Danio rerio: one gene and its partners. The protein of the gene in region 1 binds, or shares a complex with, the protein of each later gene. Links are inferred from orthologs where the notes say so. Each region holds a gene or a part of one and is shown on either strand. Other genes may lie near its edges.

Region 1 (3,757 bases):
GATTAAGGATATATATTTGGGTATTTTGAGCAGCACATTACCCAGCCAAATCTGAGCACAAGTTCACTTTTAACAATCTACTTTCTAGCGAAGTCTGCATCAGTACGAGCTCTGCTATTCGACATTTCCTTCCTCATGCTGTGTCATGTCGTACAGACGTATGGATCAGAGGTCAGCATTTACACATACATAATTTCAATCTGATAAGGTTATGTAATGTTCTTATATAATTCTTAATCACATCCTGTCATCGCAAAACACTCAGAGTCACAACTGAGTCAAAACGCTCCGATCATATCCTACTTCCTGTCTGTCCAGGTGATTCTTTCAGACCCCAGCCCATCAAGCGAGACCCCTTTCTTTGAGACATGGCTTCAGACGTGCATGCCAGAGGAAGGGAAGACCCTGAATCCAGACCACCCTTGCTTTAGACCTGAGTCTGGGAAGGTGGAGAGCCTGGTGGCCCTGCTTAATTCTTCATCTGAGATGAAGCTTGTGTAAGTGGTGCTTCTCTTTAAAGTGCCATTATTACTCTATTTAACAAGTTTGTTTTGAAGGTCTTTAGCAATAAGTGTATATCCATCAAGTAAACAAAAAATATATACTCTTACACTGTAAAACCCAAAAAGTTAAGGTATCTCAAACCGTTCGAGGAAACTGATTGCAGCAAACCATTTAAGTCCAAAAACAAATCCTAATGAGTATTGTGAACTTAATCCATTTAAGTAAATTAAGCAGTTTGAGCACAGTAAAACCTGATAAGTGAAGAGAACTCAAACCAATGGAGTACTGTAAAACCCAATAAGTCAAGGCAACTCTAACTGTTTGAGGAAACTGATTGCAACAAACCATTTGAGTTCAAAAACTAATCTATATGAGTACTGTGAACTTGCTTAATTTGAGTTGAAGTAATGAGGTATTTAATTTGAGTTCAAAACTCTTTTCAAATGAGTAGAATTAACTTTCAGTCAATTTTGAGTTAACTTCACTCATTTCACTTGATAAAGTTGAATGTTGGGTTTTACAGTGTAGCATACATTCCCTGTTCATGTTCAAGGATCCACTCTTTCTAAATCTCTCTTTTTGAGTGTTTGGATTGTCAAATAGGCACCATTTTTTAGTGATTGGTCTACAGCTCATTAAATTAATTGCAAGTGGCTTCCTCTGGACTTGTAAATACAATGATAGAAACAATAACGTGGCAATGGTTTTGTCAAAACGCATTTTCTTTCATTCATTGAGGATTCATACAGTGTATTTGTTTCAGCTGGATTTATTCTTTCGTCTGGCGCCGCATCACACACCTCTGCTGACTGCGCGCGCACCTCACAAAACGGACAGGGCTTTTATACTTGCCGCATTCGCCAAAACAACAGGGGGTGGTTAAAAAAAACCCCACCGTAAAATCACACGGATAAACACAGACTACATCATATCATTAATATCATTCAAGATTTTTAAACAAATAATTTTTATTATTTTAATAAATTATTTTAATGATTATAAGGATTTTTATAACCATTTAAGATTTTTTAAGTCAAACTTAGATGCATCTTTTGAACTTATGTTCATATCTCGGACAGTTTTACCTATTAAAGTTTATTAAAATATCATTGACAACAGAACATGGGTTGCTTTACAAATGTATTTTTATAAAAGCAAAAAAAAACATTACAATTACTAAAAATTATTTTAGATTTAGCCCGCTCCACAGTTTACACATTACTGTCTGATAATGTTTCTGTCCTCTACTTATGCTAAAAAGGAGATAATGGTCCAACATTCTTGACCATTATCACCAATAAAGCCTAGAAAAACAGGCCATCAGTATATTGTAAACCGATAGGTTCAAATATTCCTTTCCAGTTATCAAAGAAATTATTTGTTCTGTTAGTTTTGTAACTGTTATATTGTTTTAAATAAAAAAATAATATATACATTAGTGTAAAACCTATGAATGGAAAAACATATTTCTGTAATTGTGTATCCGGGTCTCCACTTTTGCCATGGCCTCTTTTGGCTTTAACAAACTTATCCCTCAAGTTTTCCCAAATGTTTTAGCAAAAACATTCTTCCTTTCCCACTAATGTTGTAATTTTTAGCCAAGAATTTTTGATCATCTGGTTATATCTATGAACATGAATCATAAAGATGTCTCTACAGTTGAACCTGTTTCAGACAAAATCTCTTCAGTGTTTCATAATCAACTCAAATCAGTTGTGGCGCCGTGCGAACTGTTCGCTCGTCTCAAAAAAATCATGCGCTCCGCCAGCCGAAATCATGACGCGTACACCCAAACCTAACCTCCGCAAACACTGCGATAACGTCACATTCGCTGCGCCCACTCAATCGAACTAGCGGACATGTCGAGTATAAACAATGCAAAAATTTTCTTTTTGACCTGTTGACACCACAACTGTACTGTTTAGATGTTGTTAATAGGATGACAGTGAAAACTAAAGGCTGGCATTTTCAAATGTGTTACAAACCTACATAGGGTTGTGCATGAAGTAATGCCTGAATTATTGACCATCACTGAATAATATTCTCTATGACACAACAAATTCATTTATTGTATGCTTTTGAATATTTGCATACCTTTTACATTCAGAAACCGCTATATTAGACACCACACCAAAGAAAATATCTTAATCATTCAGTGTAACATCAGATAAGTGATGACTCGTTTTGAATAATAGATCCAAGATTGGGAGCATATCTCACTATAGCAAAACGTTTTGCTAATGTGGAACTGTTGATCACTCTTTGAGAGCTGACTGTTGCTCGGATACAGGTGTTTGTTTTATGATCCTGAAATACGTTTGAGTTAAAAATGTGTAAGTAAGTGTCTTATTAAAATTAAAAATATAAAAAATAAAATAATAATCAGGGATTATATTTTAGGGTCTGCTGTCTTTAAATGAAACTATTAGCCTAACAGTCATTTGTGTAGTTTTAGAGTGTACTACCAGATGTGAATTGGCAGGCCAAGAACCTAGATCCAAAAGTGCATATTTGTTGTATGTATATTTGATGAAAAATTTGCTCAGATTTGGGAGAGGACAGTGTGTTTTGTTTAAGTATGGAACGTATGCAAGTAAGTAATGATTGGCCACAAAATGGTTTGTTTTGTCCTGCCTGTGAGATAAGTCAAACATATGCTTTCTTCTTCCCAGTCAGATGAAATGGCATGAAATATGTCTTAGTACTCCTGCAGCTATACTTGAGGTCCTGAATGCCTGGGAAAATGGAGTTTTGTCAGTGGAGGCTGTTCAGGTGAGGGCATTTAAGAAGTCTTTAAATGGCACACAATTCCCATCATTTGACAGTTCGGGACCAATAGTATGAATGTCACACAGTAGTTTCTTCTTTATGACTGTAACTGAAGATGTGTTTTTCTGTGAGTGTAGAAGATCACAGATAATATAAAAGGAAAGGTGTGCAGTATGGCCATCTGTGCAGTGGCATGGCTGGTGGCTCACGTTCGGATGCTGGGATTGGATGAGAGAGAAAAACCTCAGACTATGATTCGTCAGCTCATGACTCCTATGTCAGGGGAAAACACTTTGCAGTTTTACCATGAGCGGTAAGCATCTCCTCACACATCAGACTACAGAATCACATTAAAGTACTCCCATTCAAAGTCTTAAATTGTGAATATCAACAAACAGATTTCTATTTTTAGTATTTTTATTGCTAATATCTAGAAAGTGCCGAGACATTACTGGAAGTACATATGCCCTTTATAAGATCTAAA
Region 2 (4,224 bases), on another chromosome or scaffold:
TTATGTGAGGTGTTTATAATGCAGTGTCTTTGGGGCTGAGAGTAAATTTGGCATTCACTCCTCTGGCTGCCGTCATCAGTCTCACGCTATTTTTTTCCTTTTTCTAAAAGTCTTGATAACACCATCGAGGAGTTTTTTTAGTTGTTATTATCTCTCTCATTACAAATGAACAATGATAGCAAATGTTTAAATGTGGCTTGAAGCATTTTGAGCCAGAGAAAGAGGCCAGTGGCACTTGTAAATCTCAGTTTATATGTGTTTTCCATCAGATTTTTATTTTCACTCTCCGTCTTTTAATCCTGAAGTCTTCTGAAATGGCAATAATTATTTTTTAACATTAATAGATATACATAATTCATATCAAATTCACATTGTTTAGATTACTAGAATGGACACTTTATTTTTCTCCCAGTTAAACAGCCACTTAATGAGTGAGTTTTAGCTACTTGTAGCGTTCAGAAAAAACGAAATACCCATGAAGATACTCGACACAGAGGAACATAACCTACTGCCAGCAAGTGTACGGAAGTGTTATTGCAGAGCAACACAAACAGCATGTATACAGTAGTATAAATGCACGACTACCCGCAAGGCAGGCACCGTGGATCACTGCGATCACGCAGAAGTATAAATCAGCCATTTTAAAAGGGATTTTTGCACAATTGGTCCCCTTTTAAACAAGATGTAGACAGCATATTTTCTAAAGCAATCTAAATGTGTTCTTTGAGCTTCATCTTTATAGTGTTGGTTTGTGTTGCAGCTTCCTGAGCAGTACAGACTGATGCACATACAGCCACCAAAGAAGAAGAGCAAACACAAACACAGACATCATCACCCTCAGGATCCTCTACCGCTAGGTCACTTCAAAAGCTCATGGATTTTCACATTTTATTTCCTCTGTGCACCACATGCATGTTAACTTCCTTTCCCTGTGCAGAAACCCGCACTGACCCCACCAAGAAGAAGAAAAAGAAAGATAATGAACCTGAACGCAGGAAGAAAAAGAAAGACAAGAAGAAAAAAAAGGTGAGCCACTTTGTTGATGCGGCGCAGAATCTTACAAATTTACAATAATTAAAAAGTGTATTGTTGAACAAGGTTGAATGCTACAGGATGTTCCTGTATAAATAATAATGCGTTATTAAAATTTTAAAAATGTATACACATAGGAAGCAGCTTTGCTTTGGTGTAACATCTGAGCAGCCTTGAACAATGCTCTTTATAATTATTTATCATTTTTGCTTCACACAAATATTATTTCAACAGTAAACTGTGTTTATTTTACATTTAAAAGGATGTGTAAGCTTAATGAATGCGCCCTCTTTTACATGAATATTTTACACTAATATAGTTGTGCATATATACTTTAGATTAGTCAGTACTAAAGCTAAGACTGGAACTGATCTAACAAAAAGACTTAACATCACGGTCTAAAAATGAGACCAGCCAAATTAATTAAAGGTGCAGTAGGTGATTGTCTACAGAAACATTTTTTGATGTGCAGGTTGAAAGTCTCTTCACATTCCTATAGTAATGATTAAATTAAATGATCTAAATGTATTTACATGTATTTTTGTATTCTGGGTAAGTCATAAGACTAAAAAATGTTAATTCCCATAATTCTGATAAGTAGCCCAAACTGTCTGTCAACAAATGTAGACTTGTACATCTGCGCTGCTATTCGTGCAAATCTGCCGTTTGTGTGTGCACGTGCGTTCACGTGCACATGAGAGAGAGCGCGACCAGTAAAAACAAATGCTGAAACAAAACTTTATAATCCTGAATCAATATTGAAGTTAGTTTTTATGCTGGAGGAAGAACGAGACCATGGCTGAAGTATTTCTTTTAGACAGGTCATGTTCTGTTTTAAAACTATTAAGTCACACAAAGCTGATGTAGATTCTGTTGTTTCACGGATGTGTTATATGCACGAAAGTGTAATTCCTGCACCCGCCAGCCAACCACTAAGCATACAGTAGTGGCTTTAGGACAAAACGTGGGAGAGAGTGAGACCAACGATCCTTGTATGGATGAAATATTGCACATTATGACAAGTTTTGCTTGCTACACGACTGAAAACATGCTGGATATAATACAGTATTTTGTACTTTACAGTAATAAAGTATTGTAAAGTTTTTCAACTGGCGAATGACAAGAGTTAGTGGGCTGTCTACTGTCATCTTTGCAGTGCGTGTTTGTGATTTCAGGAGGCGTGGCTTTGAAAAATAGGGGTGGGACTGTTTTCTAAGATATTATGCTAACCGGTTAGCATTTTGGCAGATCACCTACTGCACCTTTAATGAGAAACTTTTTGTACAAATTTTCTGTCTCTCTATTCCTGAATGCGTTAGGCGATTTAATTTAATTTGAATAAATATAACAGTTTGATACAACACCAAAATATATTGACGATTCACAGAGAAATTGATTAAAAAAAATAGGAATTTTCCAAAAGGGTTGCAACTCATTTATGCTTTAAACCGTATGCATGTGTGTGTGATTTAATTTTTTTTCTTAAATTTATTTGAATAAAATCATTGTTTTTATCTTTTACTAAAACTAAATAAATTTTCAAACTTACTTTAGACATCTTGCTTCTCAATAAATGTGTCTTGATTTAAGTAACTGATAAGTTATTCACAATAGGAAACAAGACAGTATTTTGCAGTATAACATTTTATAAATAATATTAAAATATAACACATTAGGGCTGCACAACATATTGTTTCAGCATCAATATCACAATGTGATCATTCGCTATAGTCACATCGCACATTTGCATGTGTTTTTGATGCCGCTGATTGTATAAATGATTTTAAAAACATTCAGCTATATGAAATTGTACCATTTGTGACTTTAACAACAATTAATTTTTAATTATTTTTTATTTTTATCATTCAAGTTTTACTTGAATACTGTTAGACTCACACTTTATTTGTATTAAAACACTTTATTTGTATCTTTTTCTTGATTGTATTTATAGATTGTTGTGCATGAAAATACTCGCAACACATGCAAATACAGAAATGCACTGCAAATAGCACAGACCACAATGAAAATGTGCCAGAGGACCCCAAAAATGTTAAAAATAGTAATTATAAGAATCTAATTTTATAAATTATTTCCAAATAGAGACAGTCATCTGGTGAAATTTTATTCATATTGTAAAATATATTGCAGAGATATATTTTTTCCAATATTGCGCATCCCTATAACACAATATTAAATGCTCAATGTTAGTGGCATTCAAAATCAAATCGATGGTCTGCACAGTGTAGAATATGTCCCTAGAATCTACTTGATACCTTAATTATGTTGTAGAATAATTACTTGTTTATTGCTGGGACCTGTCACATTTAAAGTACACCCCATTTAGTCTTGTTAATGCATTTAAAAGGTCTTGGTCTGTTCCCTCTTTTCTTTTAGAATCGACACAGTCCTGATCATCCTGGTGTTACTGGATCTCAACCCAACAGCAACAGCCTGAGATAGAACAGTTGTGTGTGTGCGAGTGTGCTTGTTTGTATGTATGTTTGCACACATGAAGTGATGTTGAACTGTGTTAGAGAATCTGATATGGACCAGTGCGGTTGATTGATGTTTACAAGGGCCAATTGTTGATGATTTTTGACTTCTTTTTCTGGTTATGATGAAAAGCTCAAGGAATAAACTTTGTTATTCTTTATACAGTCTTTAAACACACTCTTTCTTTTTTGTTCACAATAACAGATCATAAAGTGTGCCAAGAAAATATCCCCCACACCATTACACCATCACTAGCCTGAAGTTGTTGATGCCACATTCTGACCATACCATTCGAATGTCACAGCAGAAATCGAGGTTCATCAGACCAGGCATAGTTTTTTCCAGTCTTCTATTTTCCATTTTGGTGAGCCTGTGCCAATTGTAGCCTCAGTTTCCTTTTCTTAGCTGACAGGAGTGGCACCCGGTGTGGTCTTCTGATGCTGTAGCCCATTCGACTCAAGGTTGGATGTGTTGTGCGTTCAGAGATGCTCTTCTGCATACCTCGGTTGTAATGAGTGGTTATTTGAGTTACTGTTGCCTTTCTTCCATCAGTTAGAAGAACCAGTCTGGCCATTCTCCTATGACCTCTGGCATCAACAAGACCACAAAACTGCCACTCACTAAATATTTTCTCTGTAAACCCTAGAGATGGTTGTGCATGAAAATCCCAGTAAATCTGCAGTTTCTGAAATACTCAGA
Region 3 (3,757 bases), about 5.7 Mb from region 1:
CCTTTCCCCTTTCTCAACTCTCTGCTCTGCTCAAATTCTGTAGTGGCGTTCATTTAAATAAAAAATCGTACCTTTTTTATTTCAGTTTTAACATGGCTTAAAATAAGACGGAGGACTTATGCAGTTGATTTCTTCAGCACACTTTAGGGCTTCAGGTGCTGAAATTCAATATGAATTATTAGACATTCAAAACTTTTGTAATGAGATACATAAATTAAATAAGTAGATACTGCTCACCATAAAAGCTATTTTGTATTATTATTTACTTTTAAGACATTTAAATTGTCTTTGGAAGAACAATTATCATTTACAAAAAGAGCTGTTAGCATCTGCTGAGTCTTTGGACTATCTCCTTTAAGCGTTGTACTGTCAAAGGCAGGTTCTTTATAAGGGGATCTAAGGGTTGAAGCTCTTTTTGGAAAAAAGTACTAAATTTATTTTATTTAATATAAACTGACATTTAAGCATAATCAACTCTATTCAATCAAATTTTAATTAAGGTGTTTAAAGAGAAAACTGGATACATACAAACTGATACATCACTATTACAGTTGCATCAATTGCAATTAAAGGTGCTTGAATTTTATTTACTTATTTATTTTATTTTTTGGCGTGGTTTTGACTGGCATCACTCACTGAATGGTCAAATATTCTGAACAGCATTATAGGTGATGTATTTTTTTCCAAATAACTTAAAATCAAGTTTGATTAAAATTAACATTAGTTTTTTGTGCTTGCAGAACCAGTTGTTAACGTTATGTATAGTGAAGATTCTTTACACATTCTAAATTATAAAGTTGTGAACACAGTGGATTGTCACATGTGATCACATGAAATTCATGTGACTTTTCTGTAAGGGTGTTTATAGAACTCTGCATGTCAGTCTGTCAAGTGCTTTGCTAAATCAAATATATTAGTGCATTTACTTTGAACTGCTTTGTATATTGTAAAAAAGTGCCCCACACCTGAGCCCCAGAACGGTTGGATAGCTTTAACTATTTCATGTTACTATAAATTTGGTATTATGCACCATTTCTTTTTAAAGCATACAAATAAGAGGATTCTCTTATTCAGATATTTAAATTTGCACCTTTAAAAAGGAAGGCAGTTTTATAAGTCATTGAACGAAAATTGAGGCTTCATCAAAGTTCACATGATTTTCTGAAAGCAAAGCAATGCTCACTTAAGCTTTGGAAACCCATACCCATACATATTATACATACCTAGCATTTTTTCTACTTTATTCTACTTGATCTAACTGTAGTTTAGGACATACCTTTTAATAAGTTAATATATGTTTGTCTTTCTTTTCTTTTAATGATGTATGGCTGCAGGTTGGGATCTCACCTGAGTCCTTCACATACTGAATGCTATATCACCTCTGATATGTTCTACGTTGAGGTGCATATGGATAAAAGTGGAAAGCTCATGGATGTAAAAGTGGCCCACCATGGTGAAAATCCTGTGGTGAGAGGGAGATGTGGCTATTGTAAATATATCTATTTGATGTATTTTTTCTGTCCACTTACATTTGATTTTATTTCTTATTGTCATGTAGAGTTGTCCTGAGCTGATACAGCATTTACGGTAAGAAACCCATTTTAAAGAAAAGTAAAACTATGCAAAAGGGTGTATGCATTTCTGTTAATGGATAAATTGCTGTTTGGGACGACAAAACACTTTTAAGTGAATGTAATTGCTGTTGCCCTATCAAACACACTTCATACAACAAAATACTAACCTTAAAATTTCTAGGTTTTGATATCAAAACAATTTACTTATGATGGTCGACAGAATGTTGTGCATCATTTAAAAGATAAATAAAATATTTGCTGTATTGCATTACCGTTCACCTACTGACTTCTTCACAGTAAATATATATCTATATATATATATATATATATATATATATATATATATATTAGTGCTGTCAATCGATTTTAAAAAATTAACTAATTAACTAACTAAATGCGATTAATCGCATTTAAAAGACTGAAACTTGTAATTTTGGCTATTCAAATGTAAAATTTATGTAAACGCAAGACAAAAACTATTTAGATTCAAAATATAATTGTTTATTAGAATTTTTGTTTAACTTGTTTTCCCAGAGATGGGTTGCGGCTGGAAGGGCATCCGCTGCGTAAAAACTTGCTGGATAAGTTGGCGGTCCATTCCGCTGTGGTGACCCCGGATTAATAAAGGGACTAAGCCTACAAGAAAATGAATGAATATTTAACTTGTAACAAAGATTTCTTCATGTAAACAACATACCCACAATAAACCATCAAGATCCTGGCTTGACAGCCATATTTATTACAGAAATTAAAACGCAGGCATGTTAATGCCATTTGAATTTCAAAACAATCAATGCCAACAAAAAAACATTGATTTCCATGTTGGATTGTAAGTGGACTGCAAAAAAATGCCAAAATGCAGGCATTACATGTATGGAAATGTAAAATTATAATAATAAACTATTGAATACAAATATGACACAGACACACACACAACGAGCTGGAGCGATTCCCTTTAGATTCAACACGCATTGCGTTTATCAAATTTGCTTAAATTAAGCGTTCTAAAGTATTATTGTATTTTACAAGGATTCTGACACAACAACGTGAAGCATACGCTTTCGTTGCGTTTAATGAGGAAACATGCAATACTTGGAGGGCTCATGCTGAAAGGCAGAGTAATGGCCTGTCTTTGACAGCTTGTGACTTCACCAAAGACTTTCTGAGTACAGTTACATAAGACACCAATACTCCGATTTTAATATGACTAAGATTACACTCTTATTAAAAGTCTACAGTGTAGCCTAAGCAGCTATTTTATTACCTTAAAGGAATACTGAGTCACGAAATGCGGAAGATTTTCTTTCTGTTCGCCATGCGGTATCAACTTACAACAGAAGTCGAAAGTTAAAAATTAAACATCCGAAATTGCACGAAACTCTGGATAACCTGGTGATGAGACATTAATTGTTTTATACTGAAACTTGCCTTCAAAAAGTGCTTCCTTGGTCTTGTCCACATTTCTTGCATGTTAAACACACGTCCACCACAACAGGAAGTAAAAAAAACCTGCAACTGCGTTTTTTTAACGCGTTAATTATTTAAAATTAATCACATGCGTTAACGCACTAATTTTGACAGATTTATATATATATATATATATATATATATATAATGTATATGTGTGTGTGTGTGTGTGTGTGTATATATGTGTATATATATATATATATATATATATATATGTGTGTATATATATATATATATGTGTGTGTGTGTGTGTGTATATATATATATATATATATATATATGTGTGTCTGTATATATATATGTATATATATATATATATATATATATATATATATATATATATATATATATATATATATATATATATATATATATATATATATATGTGTATGTGTATATATATGTGTATATATGTGTGTGTGTGTGTGTGTGTTATTTAACTCCAACTGTAAAGTTGTTAATGTACGGTAACACAGCATTAAACATAAACATTTGTTTTACAGAGACAAGAATTTTGATGAGTTTTCCAAACACCTGAAGGGTCTGGTCAACCTGTACAATCTCCCTGGAGACAAGTATGGTGTCCATTTCTGTTTATTAAATCATAAAGTGCTTTCAGTTCCAGTGACTTGCATTGCAATATCTTTTTCTCATCTTATTCCACAGCAAATTAAAGACAAAGATGTACTTGGCACTTCAGTCACTGGAGCTAGACC
Region 4 (4,473 bases), on another chromosome or scaffold:
TTTTTTAAATCAGCTTTGAAATGAAAAATGTTAGGCTTTCTCTTTGAACAATAACACTTGTGTATATGAAACTTAATAATATCAAAAGATTTAACATTAACAGGGGATTCTTATCTATATCTTTTTGATCTACGCATCTGACATCTCTTTTTCTTTAAATTAATTCTGTGACCACTTAGTATATTAAATAGACATTCAACATAAAGCCAGAAATATTTAACATATATACAATCAACAAACAAATGCATAAGAGTCTCAACATCCACTCCGCAAATAAACACAAATTCAGAAAGATCAACTTTTGATCATCTTTTGAGAAATTGGTTGGTTGGATATATTTTATGTATAATTTCACTTTATTAGTGACACAATACTTGTTGTTATAAGTCCAGATCAAGTTCCAATAGATATTCTCAGATTATTCCAAAAGTATTTGTGTCTAAAAGTGGCAAGATAATAAATCAAGCGTCTACAAAATTTATTATTACATTTTCTATCTTTGAAATCAACACCATGTAATTAAATCTCATTTTTAACTGTTAGTTTATTTGGTTCACTGTAACTCTGCAAAAGCCCCGCCAGGCCTTGTGGAGGCACAGGAACTAAACTTCTCAAAAAAATTCAGTAGCCTATAAGTCAGTAAATATCCTTCATCTTTTAAGCTGTGAGACCAATAGAACACCTTTTTAACCAAATTATCATGGAAAATAGATTTTTTTTTCTTATATTCCAAGTCACAAAATGTATTTTGTAGGCTACAAATATTACTACGAAAAAAAAAGGTGCAAATGCCTCATAAATACTTTTTTAAAATATTGCCTGAACTTTATTCGGCTTACTTATTTGTTTCTAAACATTTTGATATTCCGAGTAGTTGTACATTTTGTGGTGAGGATGATGAAACTTTAATACAATTATTTTGTATGTGTGAATTTGTTCAGAAATTTTGGTTTGACCTTTATCGTTATTAAACACTCCTCCTACCTTTGCACAATATTTTAGTTTAAAATAAAGTGTTTGTTATTACTCAGAATAAATCTGAAGAATTTGTTTTCAACTTTTTATCTTGTTTGGAAATATTTTATACAAATATGCATTGTTTCAGTCCCTACTTTTCGACATTTTCTCATTAAAGTTGACTCCTGCTCAAATCTTTGCGTACGTGTAACAACAACAAAAAATGTGTCAGATACTTGGCTCTACATGAAGAACTGTTGACTCTGATTTGAGTTAAATAGCTCTTAATTAATTTATTTTTATACAATTTTATACAAGTGTAATTTACTTACCCCTTACAAATGTAGTTTGTATTGTTCCTATTTTGTATCTCTCTTATATTGATCTCCTGATTGTGGTTGTAAGTTTTCATTCTTTATTATTTAAAAAAAAGGTGCAAATGTCGTGAAACACTTTTACGACAGCAGCACTGGTTTTATGGCAAAAATGGCGTCAGCGGTCTATGTCCGCATAAACAATGAGTAATGTGTTGTTTTTGGTAATCGCGCTCTAAAAAATCTTTTTATACTAATCATTTTCCAGATATTTCAGCGTCGTCTGAATTCTCGTTGTCCGTAATGGCTGGTGTTATGGAAACAGGTTTGTTAAAATTAGATTGAATTGTTATTTAGCACATCTTTGCCCACGAGATTCCTAGCAATGTGACAGTTAACGTAAATACAATTGTTTGGTAACGTATTTTAGTTTCGTTTTGATCATATTAAGTTATACAACGTTTTAGAGGTACTACACTATGTGTTATTTTCTGTACTGGCGCAGATATATGTTGTTCAAGCAATTTCTGTAACACTTAACATTAAGGTAGTATCGTCGTTAGCCAATGTTTGCTAACATGAACAAACAAGAATCGTTATATTTATTACAGTGTTTGTTCGTCTTTGTTAAAAGTATTAATGAAATAAAGTAATCTCAACTTACGGTGCATCAACTAATGTCAAGCATGAACTTGCATTTTAATTATGCACTAATACAAGTATTGTTCGTTGGTAGTTCATGAATACATTTACTAATGATTATTTGTATTATTTCTTTTCAAACACAAACATTGCTTACGCTTCTATTTGTGCTTTGACAGACGAGCAGGCGAGACAGCGCTTTCAGCTGGAGCTGGAGTTTGTTCAATGTCTGGCAAACCCAAACTACCTGAACTGTAAGAACAACGTTAACTCTTGTTTCTTTTTTACTGTTCGCTAAATTCAGTCATTACTTTAGTCATTGGTCAAATTCACTCATTGGTTGTTACATTCTGTAAATTCAAGGTAATTTTGTTACTGTGGTCGAAATATGAAGATGGATAATGATTATTAATCTTAATTTTTTCCCCCCATCCTGCAGTTCTGGCTCAGAGAGGTTACCTGAGAGAGAAGCCTTTCGTCAATTATTTAAAGTATCTGCTTTATTGGAAGGAACCAGAATATGCTAAATTTCTAAAGTAAGTAACATGTTGTTCTTGTTGAAATAGATTGTTAATTTGTCAAACATTTCTTCTTTGGATGATGAGTGCTTCTAATAAAAGCATGAAAGAAAGAAAGAAAGAAGGATATAAAATTTGTTCAATATCGTGTAGTTCTAGTGCATAATATTTATTAGTTATTTATTATTAGTTATTTATTAGTTAGTATTATTAATTATTTATTAGTTTACTAGTTATTTTGTAAAATACTATTATTCAGCTTAAAGTCCTGTTTAAAAAATTGACTAGCTCAATTAGGCTGGTCATTTGACAGCAGTTGTTTGTTTTGTAGACAGTCGAATATAAGAAGTTCTTAAGGGGGTGAAAAATATCGACCGTAACGTTTTAAGAAATTTATTCTTTTAATGCCACCAGAATAAAGAAATGAGACATTCTATATAAGTTAAAACGTAATAGTTTAGAATAGAAATATAAATATTTGTTTTGCTAAACATGACTTGGGAAAATATTTGAAAAGGAATTAAGAATTTTACAGGTGGTCTAATAATTTAGCTGTATATAGTTGTATTTAAAAATGTAAATTGAATTACAAGTTTAGTATGTGTGCCTAATCTGTATGGAACAAAATTAATGGCAAAAGTATTGAAATAAAAAGTTTGTTGATTAGCATTAACTGAAAAAAAATAATGCATTGAATAAGCAACTGCTTGCATTTTAATGACTTGAATTGCAAGAGTTTGTATTTTTAGGGCCTGAATTTTAACACGGCTGTTTATTTAAGCTGTGAATATTTCAACTAAAAATATTTTAAACATGTTTTTATACTTAAAATTTCAACAATTCATATTCAATTTCCAGATTTCATATATATATTAAAAGTTCAATTTTTAAATATATAATACTGGTGAAAAATATGAAGCATAATGTTCAAAATTTAACTTTCAGTTTGTTTACTTTTCAGTTTAAAATTTTGCTTCCAAAAATTCAGTGGTTTAAATTTGGCTCTTAAAATTCGACATTACTTCCGGGAACTGCAGGAACAGCAATAGATTGCAGATTGGCAATCTCCAGCTGCTTTTTCACTAGCAGGTGGACCAATTTAAGATTTTTAAACCATTAAATAAAGGTTTAAAAACTCCCTTTTTAAGGGAAAAAGCTAATAACAGCACAAAAGTAGCATTTAATATTGTCCTTGTTAAATTTTAACAGCCGAATTTGATCCACTAAATTAATGGAAGAGAACTTTTGAACTGAAATAAAGTGAGTTGAAAATTGTCTTTTGAATATTATACATGAAATCCGGAAATTAAGAATTATTATTTTTAAGTATAAAATAAGTATAAGAATTTTCAAGTATAAAAACGTGTTTGAAAAATTTTTAATTGAAATATTTACAGCTTAAATAAACAGCTGTGTTAAATTTCAAGACCTAAAATTACAAACTCTGGCAATCCAAGTCATTAAAATGCAAGCAGTTGTTAATTTAATATATTATTTGTTTCAGTTTGTGCTATTCAATACGTTTTTTTTTTGTTTTTGTTTTTTTTAACAATACTTTGATTTTGTTCCATAAATCTGCAGTTTACATAACCTAAACTATAAAGTTATATTATTTTATTTGTCAATATAAAGCAAAAACAGACAATATGGTGCCAAATTGTAGGTCGCTTACCATTAGTGCTGTGTGATACTGAACAGAAAAGATTTAAGCATTCTAAATAATTCAATGCAATATTTTATTAAAAATATCAAATCAATGAAATATTTCATATGATTTCAGGGAAAAGAGAACATCACTACAACTTCTGAAAGTGAACAGCCATGTTTAACAGAAACATTCATTCTTTCAATAAGAGATAAGCATTTACCGTCATTTCTACAAGCTCTGATAGGTTTACAGATGAAGCATAGCACACTGTTTCCTGCTGACTTCAAACATATTATCTTTGAAGCAACATGTGGTTTATAAATATGTAACTTTGGCAAGGCTCATAGTCATAACTTCTGGAAGGACGTACTCTCTTTTTCTCTGGGCCACTGTT
Region 5 (4,534 bases), on another chromosome or scaffold:
AATACATTTTATAAGCTGTATGTAAGCTTTAAATGTCACAGAACAAACATTTTCAAAATGGCTGCAGCATTTACACTTAAAAGAGGAAATTTAAATATAAAAACACTAACGTTGGCTCTGCTAACTTGGGCTAACTTACTGTTAGCATTTAACACTGTTTATGACAAACAGCACAGGAACGAACAACTTTAAAACGACACATCTTTAAAAGACCAACTTATCTAATGTGTTTGAGGCATTTATTCGCCTATCTGAAGGTGTCAGACTGATAATGTGTGTAAATAAATAAGGACTGACAGAAAAACACAGCACTCGGAGACACACCTTTGGAGCTGGTAACAACACCATAACTGTCTCGATTACAAACACTACTGCATCCAAACGTAAGTAAAAGACACATAATAGTAAATTACATTCATTAGATGTCGACAGGAAGCATTACAGTTGAGCTCATCTTCAACAGCCAGCGATGTCATGCAGCCCTAAGATGGCACGAAACTTCAAAATAAAGGTCTCCACATGTCGATTTATTTTCAAAATAAACGTCACAGTGCATTTAATGTTTTCCACAATAAAAGTTACTCGACTGCTTTGCGTTCATGGTTCATACCATTGGTTCATACGTACGTACTGCATGTAAATGGTAAATATGCATGTTTAAGCTATTTGGAAATAATATGATATGAAATAATAACAATTATTAAAACAATATAATTTTTGGAAAATATGCTTAACGTGAGCTTATAAAACTAGGTATTTATGAGAAATGCACATAACTAAGAAAATGCTAGAAAAAATAAATAATAAAATAACAATATAATAATAATAAATGATGATGATGATGATGATAATAATAACAATATTAATAAAAAAAGTCCTGCCAGTGCACTGAAACGTATAATATACTTAAAGTAACTTCCCTCATTGACTAAATTTTGACACAAAATATAACTTCATTCATTCATTCATTCATTCATTCGTTCATTTTCTTTTTGGCTTAGTCCCTACAGGGAGGGACATTCAACATGCAAAATCCAAACAAAAACGCCAACTGACCCAGACGAGGCTCGAACCAACAACCTTCTTGCTGTGAGGCGACAGCATTACCTACTGCGCCATATGGAAAAGTATACCATTTACTGTCTTTTTCTTTCTTGTATTTAATTAACCAATTAATTTTGAATGTATTGTTTAAAGTTTTAAAAAATGAACACCGATAACCCACCATTGCATTTTTGTTTACACATAATTTTCCATTTTAAAATAGTGATTTCCATTACTCCATAAAAAAAAATATATTGTATTTTAGGAATAGCCTAATTATTTCTTCATGTAGGACATGTTCCAGGATAGATGTCACTCCATGATTGCATTGGCAAAATCACACCCACCTCTTAGAGCCATTAGTTTTTCTGCAAGCAAACACCTTGACTTGAATTTGATCAACAGGGCAATCGGCTTTTCGCAACCATAATTGATGTTCTCCTGCTATTAATAATAGGCTAATAATACTCAATTTTAATACCCATTTTATATGATAAAGAGTTCACTTCAGTCCAGTAGGTGTCACTAAATGCACGCCTAAAAGAATAGAGCAAGCGTTGCACAATGCGCATGCGCAGTACTCGCTATCCATACTGCGCATGCGCTTTACTCACATGGACGCAGTTTCATCGAGACACATTATTTTTTCGTAGTATTTTACGCAAATCATTAGTTTTGTTTATTGCTTTTTGATACAAGTACAATATATGCTATTTTTAATTCATCGTCTGCCTGCTTTTTGTTGATAATATCTTCTAACACGTCTTAGCATGTCTATTGTTGTGGATGTTTTCTACAGCAGTTAAAGTTCTAGTTTAAGTTAATCTTTCAACTGATCGTTGACTGTAAATGTATTAAGAGACTTAAGTTCAGAATTATAATACTAGTAATAGTAATAATAATAGAGTGATGGAGGCTCCGCCGGTTACTGTGATGCCCGTCACGGGTGGAACTATAAACATGATGGAGTATCTTCTGCAAGGTAAACAACACCATCAGCACAACTCCTTTTACCATTCATTCATTCCTATTTATCATTTGTTACACTTTATTAAATAGTTTTAACTTAGTTTTTAAATACCCATTATGAGCAATCTCAATTTTTTAATTAGCAAAGTCATTTGAATAAAGCGTTGAATATGTTAAAGTGAATATGTAATTATAAACAATACACACACATTTTCTAGCGTTTTAAACTATTTTTATTTAACGCACCCTAATCTTCTTTAATTCCTTAAGACTTTTAATTTGGGATTCTGTATAATAAAAACATGTACTACAGTATTACTTTATGAATGTGCTAACGTTATATAAAACGAATAGTTTAGCATAATAATAGTATGTATACAATGTATTCATTGTAGTGTTTGTAGTATTATAATTTACAATTGTTATAATTTAAATTATACAATTATAGCATGCACTGTGCTACACGAGAGTTCTTTTTGCTGAGTCTTATTGTTTGCATAATATAGTTTGCTTATTTGGTCATATATTACCATTCCTACTTAAACCGTTACCAGATTTGTGTGTGTTCGGAGTAAATACATTTTTAACAAAATTATACAGCTAATTCATAAAGTATAATCAATAACACTTTCAAAATATGGTCTCATTAGTAAATCTTAGTTCATACATTAAAACAAAAAGCCACAGTGAGGGATATCGACATTTATTACAGTTAATAAGTTAATGTAAGTAAAAAAATACAACTGAAATGTATTATTTAATAACTAAATTTATTAAAACAATTACATCTTTTTTTTAGTGACTTATTAAGCATTAACTAAGAAATTGACACCACATTGCGAGAAATTGTGACATTACTTGAGACAAATTAGTCACAATTACAATTTTATTTTTATTGATGTATAGGAACAGGCTTAAATTATCTATCTATCTATCTATCTATCTATCTATCTATCTATCTATCTATCTATCTATCTATCTATCTATCTATCTATCTATCTATCTATCTATCTATCTATCTATCCATCCATCCATTCCCCTATCTATCCATTTATCTATCTATCTGTCCGTCCGTCCGTCCGTCTGTCTTTCTGTCTGTCTTTCTGTCTGTCTTTCTGTCTGTCTTTCTGTCTGTCTATCTATCTATCTATCTATCTATCTATCTATCTATCTATCTATCTATCTATCTATCTATCTATCTATCTATCTATCTATCTATCTATCTATCCATCCATCCATTCCCCTATCTGTCTGTCTGTCTGTCCGTCTGTCCGTCCGTCTGTCTATCTGTCTGTCTGTCTGTCCGTCCGTCCCTCCATCCGTCCCTCCCTCCATCCATCCATCCATCCATCCATCCATCCATCCATCCCCCATCCGTCCATCCATCCATCCATCCATCCATCCATCCATCTATCTATCCATCTATCTATCTATCTATCTATCTATCTATCTATCTATCTATCTATCTATCTATCTATCTATCTGTCCGTCCGTCCGTCCGTCCATCCATCTAATCTTCCATCCATCCATCCATCCATCCATCCATCCATCCATCCATCCATCCATCCATCCATCCATCCATCCATCCATCCATCCATCCATCCATCTATCTATCTATCTATCTATCTATCTATCTATCTATCTATCTATCTATCTATCTATCTATCTATCTATCTATCTATCTATCTATCTATTTATGCCCCTAATCTATGCATCCATCCATCCCACCCCCTATCTATCTATCCATCTTGACTTGGCTGTGTTCTGTTGGTTTGTTTGGCACAGGCAGTGTACTGGACCAATCTCTGGAGAGTCTCTTGCATCGCCTCCGGGGCCTGTGTGATAACATGGAGCCTGAGAGCTTTGCTGATCACGAGTTGGTGTATCTCCTGAAAGGTCAGCAGGGCAACCCGTTCATCCTGCGTGCCCGCCGCTCGCTCCTCGACCCCTCCGTCCCCTGGCACCTGCGCTATCTGGGTCAGCCCGAGGTGGGCGACAAAAGCCGTCATGCCCTGGTGCGGAACTGCGTGGACGTGGCAGCCTCGCACAGCTTGCCTGACTTCCTCAATGAGATGGGCTTCCGCATGGACCATGAGTTCGTGGCCAAGGGTCAGGTGTTCCGGAAGGGTGTGATGAAGGTGGTGGTGAGCAAACTGTCGCGTGTGCTGGTTCCTGGAAACACGGATAACACGGAGCCGCTCTCTCTGTCGTATCTTGTTGAGCTGAGCGTTCTGGCTCCTGCGGGACAGGACACTGTGTCTGAGGACATGAGGAGCTTCGCAGAACAGCTCAAACCTCTCGTTCACCTGGAGAAGATTGATCCCAAAAGACTCATGTAGAGAACATGACCTACAGACTGAGATTTTTAATTCGGTGAATAGGTGTTAAGACTGCATTTATTTGGAATATTTTTGATGATTGTTTTCTTTTTTTGTAATTGATGAAATGCTAATTAAAATCTTTAAATAAAAATATTCATTCATTCATTCATTTTCTTTTCGGCTTAGTCCCTTTATTAATC
Region 6 (4,496 bases), on another chromosome or scaffold:
TTTACATTAAAGGTGTCAGGCTGCTAATAAAAGTATAGCCTATTATTTCCTAAAAATATATAGCCTACAGTTAAAATATTTAATTATTGATTTACATATTTTTAACTTAAATCTGTTATAGGCTACTGATTATAACACAGTAAAATTATAATATTTTTCTTAAAAACACAGTAAAATATTTAATTATATTTTAGGCTACATCATTATTTGATTGTCCGGTATGAGCACTTACAGTACAGAACATTAATTTTACATTACATTTGTTAGGCTACAAATAACACAGTGAAATACTATGGTAAAGTTTTTTCCTAAAATTAAAACTTAGTCAAATTTTTTATTATTTATTTAGGCTACATACGTATTTGATTGTTGAGTATGAGCACGTTTATTAGAGAACATTAAATATATTACATTAGATGTCTCTTTACCTGGTCATGCGTGATTTGCGTGTCCCGGACAGCGCTCTGCGGCCGGTGCTGCGGGAATAGCTGGCGGACCGGTGTCTAGTCGCCCCGCGAGTTGGAGAAGGGCTGGAGACCCGGACCTGGAGGGTGGACGAGGCGGCCAGGCCTCCCTCAAAGTGCCTGCGGTAAGAAGACATCCTCTCCGGGCTGTAGCTCATGTTGAAACCGGTGGTCCTGAAACAGAAGCGTGTGATTGTATCCTCACACTCATTCATGCGGTAGTTTTATACCTGCTGTCCCGCAGAGGAATCTCGAACCTCGGGCTGACTTGAACTTAACCCGCTGCTGAACAATCTGACGGGTCACCGCGAAGAGTTTTACCGCAGTAAAAATAGAGGAGCGAGTTTTCCTGATGCCTGAGATCTTTATTAATCACATTCTCTGCACTAAAAGTGTCGAAAACTTTTTGGAGATTGACAGTAGCCTGGTGTTGACTTCATCGAGGAGGTGCATGCTAATTATTAATCATAAATTAACGGTTTATGGTCACTGTAGCCTTGTATATTGGGTAAAAACAAATGATAATGTAATAAAAAAATGACAATGTAAAGTTTGTTTATGGCTGTCAAAGACAAAAAACATGAGAATCTATATTAATACAAAACAATATCATTATATTATAATATATTGCATTATATTATATTATATTATATTATATTATAATTAAATAATAATATTGTATATTATATTTAATTATATTATATTGTATTATATTATACTATATTTTATTATATTATATTATATTATATTATATTATATTATATTATATTATATTTAATTATAATTAAATTATAATATTGTATATTATATTTAATTATAATTATATTATATTATATTATATTGTATTATATTATACTATATTTAATTATATTATATTATATTATATTATAATATATTATATTATATCATATTATATTAAAATAATTTCGATTAGATAAATATAAAGTTGATGCCAGTAAAGTCCGCAAAAACTCTTCCGGAACTGATGCGTTTGTTTGTTTCCTCCCGGACCGTTTTAATCTTCACATTGAAGTTCCACGGAGTGTTTTTTCTGTCGCGCTCCTCATCTGATCTGAACGGAGCATCGATTATTTTAAACACAATTTAACAGCACATTAAGGTTTATTTTCTACCTCAAGATGGCAGGGAACTTCTGGCAGAGTTCACATTAGTAAGTATTTTCGTATTTACTACCTAAATCACGCACAATAAAGGATTTTTGGGGGTTTTGCTGCGGTTACGGGACCATAAGAGATATAAAAAAACATTTCAATTGTCATATTTGAATTATTAATGCGAACAAAGTACCACATTTTGGTCATAACCAAGACTCAAATACGGAGGTTAGATTATTTGACTTTTATAAATCTAATAGTTTAAATCGTTGACTTATTAGCTTTAGCTGTCTGGCTAGTGAAGAAACCACAGAGAAATTAATTTGTGAATCATTTGCATAAATATCGGTTATTTACTACGTGAATTCATTTTCACACATTAAATTTACATTTATAAACTCAATTAAAGTAATGTTTTAATGCTAATATCCAGATATGAAGTGACTGATACATTTGTTGTTTGACTTGTAGAGTGTATTTATTACACGTAAATATTAATATATGTGTGTTACACTTTAATGATTTGTGAATTGAAAGTGTCTTTGTTCTTTTCAGTCTGCAGTGGGTTCTGGACAAGCAGGATCTGATGAAGGAGAGACAGAAAGATCTCAAGTTCCTCACAGAAGAGGAGTACTGGAAACTGCAGATATTTTTTGCCAATGGTTTGATGAGAAATTGCTTATTTAGTTGTTTTGTTTTCTCTTTTCTGAATCTGAAACTGTATTTCTAGACTAAGTGCAAAGCAAGACCAAAATATTCAACAATATAGTATTTACTCATGTTATATGACAATGGCAGTTCATTTATATAGCATAATTAAAAGCAACCCATGTTGACGGATGTGCTTAACATTAACTAAAATCCACAAACAGCAAGAATAAGTCAAAAACAAGTAAATAAAAAGGCTAATTAAAAGCTTTTACGTGGTTAAACGCCAGTAAAATATGAACTAAATCTTATTCATGTGTTCAGTGCTTTGTCAAACAAGATAGTTTTTATACTTGGATTAAAAACGAAACAGATTTGCAGCTAATCTAATGGAAGACGGGGAAATCATTCCAAAGTGTAGCAGCAGCTGCAGAGATTTCAATCTAAATTTAGGAATCAATAAAAGTCTCTCATCTGATGAGCGATCAATTAATGATAGATGGGTTTAAGAGACAATGTGCAACAACTTTTATTAACATGAGTTTTTATTATGCATAGTAAGCATATTAACTATGAGTAAAGTGTCTACTTTCATGCTTTAAATAGCTTTTGTGAAAATATTGTTTCCTCATACTTTGGTGTAATAGATAAATATATATTTTTCATGTTTGCAAAGGTATTTATATCATTTAAATGTAGTAATAATTTAAAAATATGCAAACAATAGGTGATCTTGTTCAATTTTGTTGTATTTTAAATAAGTTTTGTTGACAATTGGTAAATCTTTTTTGTCATTTTAACATATTTAAATAACAATACTTTTGGGCTACACTGTTATCTGTTAATATATCATCAGATGATTGATCTTTCAAGATTTATTTGATGTTAGACATTTTAGGGGGAGTTATCTGTAAATGTATGAAAAATAATGGCACTTTATGTTTTGATGCTTAGAGCCTTAATTTTTTGACCATATGACCAAGTGTTAGGTTACCACATATACTGTGGAGCGTTAATTGAAATGTATATATTTTTTTCTGTTTTGTATTCATTTGTATTTGGTTTTGGGATTTAAATGCAAAGCTAACTTAAAGCCTAAAAGTTTAAACAGCTTAAACACTTTAAAATGTTTAATTCGTCCTCTTGTGACAGTGATTCAAGCCTTGGGCGAACACTTGAAACTCAGACAGCAGGTCATCGCCACGGCAACTGTCTACTTTAAGCGTTTCTATGCCAGGTGAGCAGTGCAGTGCCATCATTAAAAGCTTGTTTTCTTCTAAAGATTCCTCTTCTAGATTCATCTAGGCTCTTGTGTTTTTCATGTAATGTGGTGCTCTATTTTTGTTCTGTGGCTTTCATTTAAGTACTCTTTAGTTCATGAAATAAAAGGAAAAACTCTTGGCTGTTTTTTCAGGTACTCTCTGAAGAGCATTGACCCTGTGTTAATGGCCCCAACATGTGTGTTTCTGGCCTCTAAAGTAGAGGTAAATACTCTGTCTGTATATAATATAAAGTGCTTGGCATAAATGAGTAAAACATTTTTTGAAAATAAATATTTTTTTACCATGTCTCAGTCATCATAGGTAATAGATTTTGGCATATTTGAACAAAACAGATTTATTAAACTGATATATTTATTAAAATATTTTTTTTGTCACCAATCATCTTTAGAAATAGAAAGATAATGCATGTACAGTCATGCAAAACATTGCAAAAAAATGACAAACTGAAATTTCAACTATATGTTACATTTTTTTTGTTTTTCTTGATTTTTATTCTATTTTTTACAATTTTATTTAATATTTGTCTTATTATATACATTTGACCTAATTTTTAGACCGTCATCATACTTTTTTTTTAACTTTTTATTTTTTTATATTTTTAGCTCCAGAATTTGACTTCAGTACTGACTAAACTAATGTATATGCACAAATATAATATTGTAAATCATCCTATAGAAAATATTAACTTAAAAGAGAGATTTGTGAGGGGTGTACTGAGCACTGTAAACACAATATTTATTCAGATTTCTGCTGAAAGATGTTTGAAACTGCATTTTAACACTAAAATTCTGCTGTCAACAGGAATTTGGTGTCGTTTCAAACACTCGGCTTATTTCAGCAGCAACGTCTGTGTGTAAGTGGGTTATATTTTACAATCATAATTTTTTTTTATGTTAATAAAATATATGTATTTTATATTATATTATATGTTATATGTTATTATTATGTTATTATATGTTATATTATATGTATTATATTATATGTAT
Region 7 (3,989 bases), on another chromosome or scaffold:
TATATATATATATATATACATATACATACACACACACACACACAAACACATATATACATACACACACACACATATATATGCATGTATGTATGTATGTGTGTGTGTGTGTGTGTGTGTGTGTGTGTGTGTGTGTGTGTGTGTGTGTGTGTGTGTGTATTTACATTATCAGCAATCATCACCTCATAAATATCAATGTAGTCCAGTTTATAAACAGTACAAGCAGTCATAAAACCCAAATACACTAGAACAATAATAGTTAGCTATATAGAGGTAAAGTCTGTTTTATATTCACATATTCAGACTTTCTCCTCAATAAGGTAATTTCAGAAAAGTAATGTTTACAAATTCTAAATAGGGAAATCATTGTCGATGTTGTTTTGAAGTCATCCTTGCCTGCTAATGTCTATCGAATATTCAAAGTAACGTTAACGTTAACATGGTAAACAATACAGAGACTGCTAAATAAACGAATGTGCGACTATAAAAGCAACGTTACCTCTATGTTAGCTATTATGTGGTAACAATAATAGGGTTATTTCAGATTGATATATTGACCTTAAATCAGTACACGAATCGATCACTAATTGATCAGCATTTCATTCTTAGGATTATTATTTCAGATTGATATGTCGGCAGCTGATTCACTCTACAAACACGAATTATTTGTCACATGTGTGCGTTTAAAAGGGATTATATAATTAATTAAGCGTGATAAGTAAGATATTTTGGGATGTTTGTGTTTATTTAGCGTAACGGTGAACTTTAGATCAGTTGCAACATCATATCAATCACTAATTGATTAGAAATACATAGTTGACATGATTGATTTCGATTCATATGTCGCTAAATGAGCTGAGTCACACTTTAAACAACTGTTATTTGCCACATATGTGCGTTATATAGGGATTATATATTTTATCAAGCGTAATAAAGAAGGTATTAGGGGTTTAACGTTACTCACTCTCATCCTGAGCGCGCAGTGAACCGACCCACGACAAGACGAGCAGAACCAAACATTCTCTCTTCAGTGGCATTTTCCCGGATCAGTCCAGTCCATAAACACGCTTTAGCAGAAGCATTTACATTCGGCAGTCATGTTGAAGCTTCACATCCAGCCTCCGGAAGTGTCAAGCACTCCTGCTTTGCGCGAAAATGCAACAACTTTTCAGTAGACGAGCGCTTTCGCTGTACGCTGCGCTGTATCACGTGATGTAGCATTGAACGCGCTCGGCGGAAACGGAAACTGTGAAGAGGAGCCAACATGGCCGACAGGCTAACGCAGCTTCAGGATGCTGTGAACTCCGTAAGACTCATTTAACGTTTATTTTATACTTCAGAAACTGCAGAACACAGCAAATGTCTTCCGAACAGATTTACTTAATAGTCTGGTTCATTAAATTGGATTATTTGCTTAAGAAGTCATGTTGATGTACTGTAGCGTCTGAAGTGTTAGCATAGCGTGCAATTTGTGAACAAATGAACAGGTGAAGTTTGTTGTCATATGTGTTTTGATACTGTAATAAATGTTTTACTTGTTATAAATAAAACGAAACTGAAAATAATAGTCCTATTATAATCTAAGTAAGTGTATATAAAAGGCACCGTTATATAATTATAATATAACATATAATATATACATACATTTCTGTAAGTGCTATTGTTACTTATATATTGGTGAAGTACACTTAAATATTTCTTTTTTTGTGTTCTTCAAAGTGCAATATTAATTATTTTTAAATTGTTTTAAATTAATGTTGTTTAATCAAACATTACATGTAATTGTGTTTATTCATATATTACATAATTCACAATCTTAGCACTGAGTACTAATACTTCTCATCATGTCAAAGAACATGTAAACTGAAAGTAACAGTGGATTGTCCTGCATGTCTGATTTACTGCATGTCGTGTTTCAGCTGGCGGATCAGTTCTGTAATGCGATTGGAGTTCTGCAGCAGTGCGCACCACCGGCCTCCTTCAGCAACATCCAGACGGCCATCAATAAAGACCAGCCCTCAAACCCCACAGAAGGTGCTCTCATCTGCACTGATCTGAATGTGATCCACTTTGAAAATAATGTGTTTTGAAGTTGACATACTAAGATGTGTTTTTTCTAGAATATGCTCAGCTGTTTGCAGCGCTGATAGCAAGAACAGCAAAAGATGTTGATGTGCTGATCGACTCTCTGCCCAGTGAAGAATCCACTGCAGCCTTGCAGGTACATTTATTATATACACACACACACTGTATCACTGGCCAACACCACATTATTATTATTGAATCATTATATAATTATTGAGCCTTCTGCTGTTTAAAATATGGTTGTTCTGCACTTCAGGTTTTGAGTTCTGGCACTCAAAGAGAAGAAAATCAACTGTAAATTATATTGTTGCATTAAAAATGAATCTCAGCTTAACCTGTGCATCTCATATCCATTTCTGGAGAGCCACTGCTTTGCACATTTTGAGTTATGCCTACATAATGGACCTGATTATAAATATCATCTTGCTAGAAGAAAGCTCCAGAAGCTGCACTGAATGTACAGAGCAGTAGGAGCCCAGAAATGGATTTGAGAAACACTGAAATATACCATGACAATAATACACAAATGACCAATTAGCTAGATATTAATCATATTACAAACTTGATTACTGTTAATTGCTCATCCCATGCCACATATATTGCACATCTGGCTCTGTGCTACCCATGTTGTCCAAGTACAGAGTGAACAACAATACATTAGCATTATACCTCGTCTCTACTTGTTGTCATTTCTGATGCGTTTCTTAGGCCGCCAGTCTGCGACAGCTGGAAGAGGAGAACCAGGAAGCTGCAGCGCGTCTGGAGGAAGTGGTTTACAGAGGAGACGCCCTGCTGGAGAAGATCCAGACGGCACTAGCAGACATCGCCCAATCACAGCTCCGCACCCGCAGCGGAGCCCCGAGTCAGCAAACACCTCCAGAATCCTGACAGAAAAAAACCACAACATGAACTATAGTGTCGGGACACAGCAGGGATTTTATACGCATCCTACATCGACTGCAGGAGACTCACTGTTTCACATCGGTTTCTGGACTAAAGAAAGCTGATTTCCCATCGCATGTCTTTATTGTGCGACCTCTGTTTTTTACCTTGTGTAATGTTCATCAGCGTGTTACTACCATTAATAGTCAGCTTCTGGGTATGTTTTGTAAATTAAATGTTGTTTTTTTCCCTCACCAGCATTATGCTGATACTCTTGTTTTGAAAGAAGTTATGTTTAACAAATAAAAATATATTGTATGACATGCTTGTTTTTATTTTTAACTTTGACCTGTTCAGGGTTTAACGCTATGGATTTTTTCTACTGGTCCGATCGGGCCAGTGGTTCAGATTTTTACTTGCCCTGCCAAATTTTTTACTGACCCCACCAAAAATAAAAAAAGAAGAGAAAAAAAAGCTAAGATGATAGCTATTTTTAGCCACATATTTTAAATAATGTGTCAAAAACAATGTCTGTGAATCTCGAATTTCAATACTTAAAGATGCTTTAATAAATAATGAGCAAAATTCAAAGTGTTATGCAAACAAAAAGAGCAGTATGGAAAATGTGCAGGTTTTTTGCAGTTCAAAATCTATTAATAAAAGGTGGTTGACTTGTTAAACTGACGGCAAATTGTGTTAAACATCACTTCATTTTGTTGTTGTGTTGTTCCTACGTAAATATCTGCTTCCAATACATTAGAAACAGACATTCTCTTTAAGCCTTCTAACTTGCTGTTGCTGTCATGTTGCTGTTTCTTTGCTGTACTGGTTGTTGCTAGCGGTCCGTTATTCGCACATGGATGACTCCAGTTTAGCTGGGTTTGGTTATTGACGATTTGATATGATCAAGGATCGTTTAATTCTTCAAAACTGATCTGAAAATTGTTGTCATAGCAACAGTTCCGATAGCTCAAACCTGCTAGGGAGCAGGCTCATTTTATATAAACAACATACTGAAAGTATGA

Evidence for each region.
Region 2: med24 (region 1) and med19a share a complex: the UniProt entries of both Homo sapiens proteins name them as parts of the mediator complex. The link is inferred for Danio rerio from reciprocal best matches to the Homo sapiens genes MED24 and MED19.
Region 3: the proteins of med24 (region 1) and med1 are in contact, whole or in part, in a cryo-EM structure (PDB 8T9D), measured with the Homo sapiens proteins. The link is inferred for Danio rerio from reciprocal best matches to the Homo sapiens genes MED24 and MED1. Residues at the interface, in NP_055630.2 of Homo sapiens: Lys7, Ile10, Trp14, Lys15, Arg17, Leu47, Ala50, Met51, Ile52, Gly53, Pro54; in NP_004765.2 of Homo sapiens: Phe375, Asn377, Gly436, Leu437, Gln439, Glu441, Ser453, Asn459, Asp460, Ser461, Leu462, Val463, Cys464, Tyr480, Lys481, Gly482, Asp485.
Region 4: med24 (region 1) and med31 share a complex: the UniProt entries of both Homo sapiens proteins name them as parts of the mediator complex. The link is inferred for Danio rerio from reciprocal best matches to the Homo sapiens genes MED24 and MED31.
Region 5: med24 (region 1) and med18 share a complex: the UniProt entries of both Homo sapiens proteins name them as parts of the mediator complex. The link is inferred for Danio rerio from reciprocal best matches to the Homo sapiens genes MED24 and MED18.
Region 6: med24 (region 1) and ccnc share a complex: the UniProt entries of both Homo sapiens proteins name them as parts of the mediator complex. The link is inferred for Danio rerio from reciprocal best matches to the Homo sapiens genes MED24 and CCNC.
Region 7: med24 (region 1) and med21 share a complex: the UniProt entries of both Homo sapiens proteins name them as parts of the mediator complex. The link is inferred for Danio rerio from reciprocal best matches to the Homo sapiens genes MED24 and MED21.

Annotation. Positions count from the first base shown.
Region 1 is NC_133187.1:11,211,194-11,214,950, reverse strand, and holds part of med24 (mediator of RNA polymerase II transcription subunit 24), read left to right. Parts: intron 1-88; coding exon 89-171; intron 172-318; coding exon 319-497; intron 498-3,176; coding exon 3,177-3,276; intron 3,277-3,410; coding exon 3,411-3,586; intron 3,587-3,757. UniProt on the Homo sapiens protein: Component of the Mediator complex, a coactivator involved in the regulated transcription of nearly all RNA polymerase II-dependent genes.
Region 2 is NC_133189.1:26,390,888-26,395,111, reverse strand, and holds the end of med19a (mediator of RNA polymerase II transcription subunit 19-A), read left to right. Parts: intron 1-760; coding exon 761-857; intron 858-937; coding exon 938-1,026; intron 1,027-3,426; coding exon 3,427-3,492; 3' UTR 3,493-3,685; downstream 3,686-4,224. UniProt on the Homo sapiens protein: Component of the Mediator complex, a coactivator involved in the regulated transcription of nearly all RNA polymerase II-dependent genes.
Region 3 is NC_133187.1:16,863,541-16,867,297, forward strand, and holds part of med1 (mediator of RNA polymerase II transcription subunit 1), read left to right. Parts: intron 1-1,334; coding exon 1,335-1,467; intron 1,468-1,558; coding exon 1,559-1,587; intron 1,588-3,544; coding exon 3,545-3,616; intron 3,617-3,707; coding exon 3,708-3,757. UniProt on the Homo sapiens protein: Component of the Mediator complex, a coactivator involved in the regulated transcription of nearly all RNA polymerase II-dependent genes.
Region 4 is NC_133196.1:43,308,212-43,312,684, reverse strand, and holds the start of med31 (mediator of RNA polymerase II transcription subunit 31), read left to right. Parts: upstream 1-1,434; 5' UTR 1,435-1,574; coding exon 1,575-1,596; intron 1,597-2,092; coding exon 2,093-2,167; intron 2,168-2,352; coding exon 2,353-2,449; intron 2,450-4,473. UniProt on the Homo sapiens protein: Component of the Mediator complex, a coactivator involved in the regulated transcription of nearly all RNA polymerase II-dependent genes.
Region 5 is NC_133191.1:7,708,780-7,713,313, reverse strand, and holds med18 (mediator of RNA polymerase II transcription subunit 18), read left to right. Parts: upstream 1-1,687; 5' UTR 1,688-1,953; coding exon 1,954-2,026; intron 2,027-3,798; coding exon 3,799-4,352; 3' UTR 4,353-4,499; downstream 4,500-4,534. UniProt on the Homo sapiens protein: Component of the Mediator complex, a coactivator involved in the regulated transcription of nearly all RNA polymerase II-dependent genes.
Region 6 is NC_133179.1:6,195,628-6,200,123, reverse strand, and holds the start of ccnc (cyclin-C), read left to right. Parts: upstream 1-1,513; 5' UTR 1,514-1,603; coding exon 1,604-1,635; intron 1,636-2,134; coding exon 2,135-2,241; intron 2,242-3,379; coding exon 3,380-3,464; intron 3,465-3,641; coding exon 3,642-3,711; intron 3,712-4,311; coding exon 4,312-4,363; intron 4,364-4,496. Other genes in the region: ngs (notochord granular surface), read right to left, coding at 429-679. UniProt on the Homo sapiens protein: Component of the Mediator complex, a coactivator involved in regulated gene transcription of nearly all RNA polymerase II-dependent genes.
Region 7 is NC_133179.1:2,083,109-2,087,097, forward strand, and holds med21 (mediator of RNA polymerase II transcription subunit 21), read left to right. Parts: upstream 1-1,216; 5' UTR 1,217-1,261; coding exon 1,262-1,303; intron 1,304-1,916; coding exon 1,917-2,031; intron 2,032-2,117; coding exon 2,118-2,218; intron 2,219-2,790; coding exon 2,791-2,970; 3' UTR 2,971-3,285; downstream 3,286-3,989. UniProt on the Homo sapiens protein: Component of the Mediator complex, a coactivator involved in the regulated transcription of nearly all RNA polymerase II-dependent genes.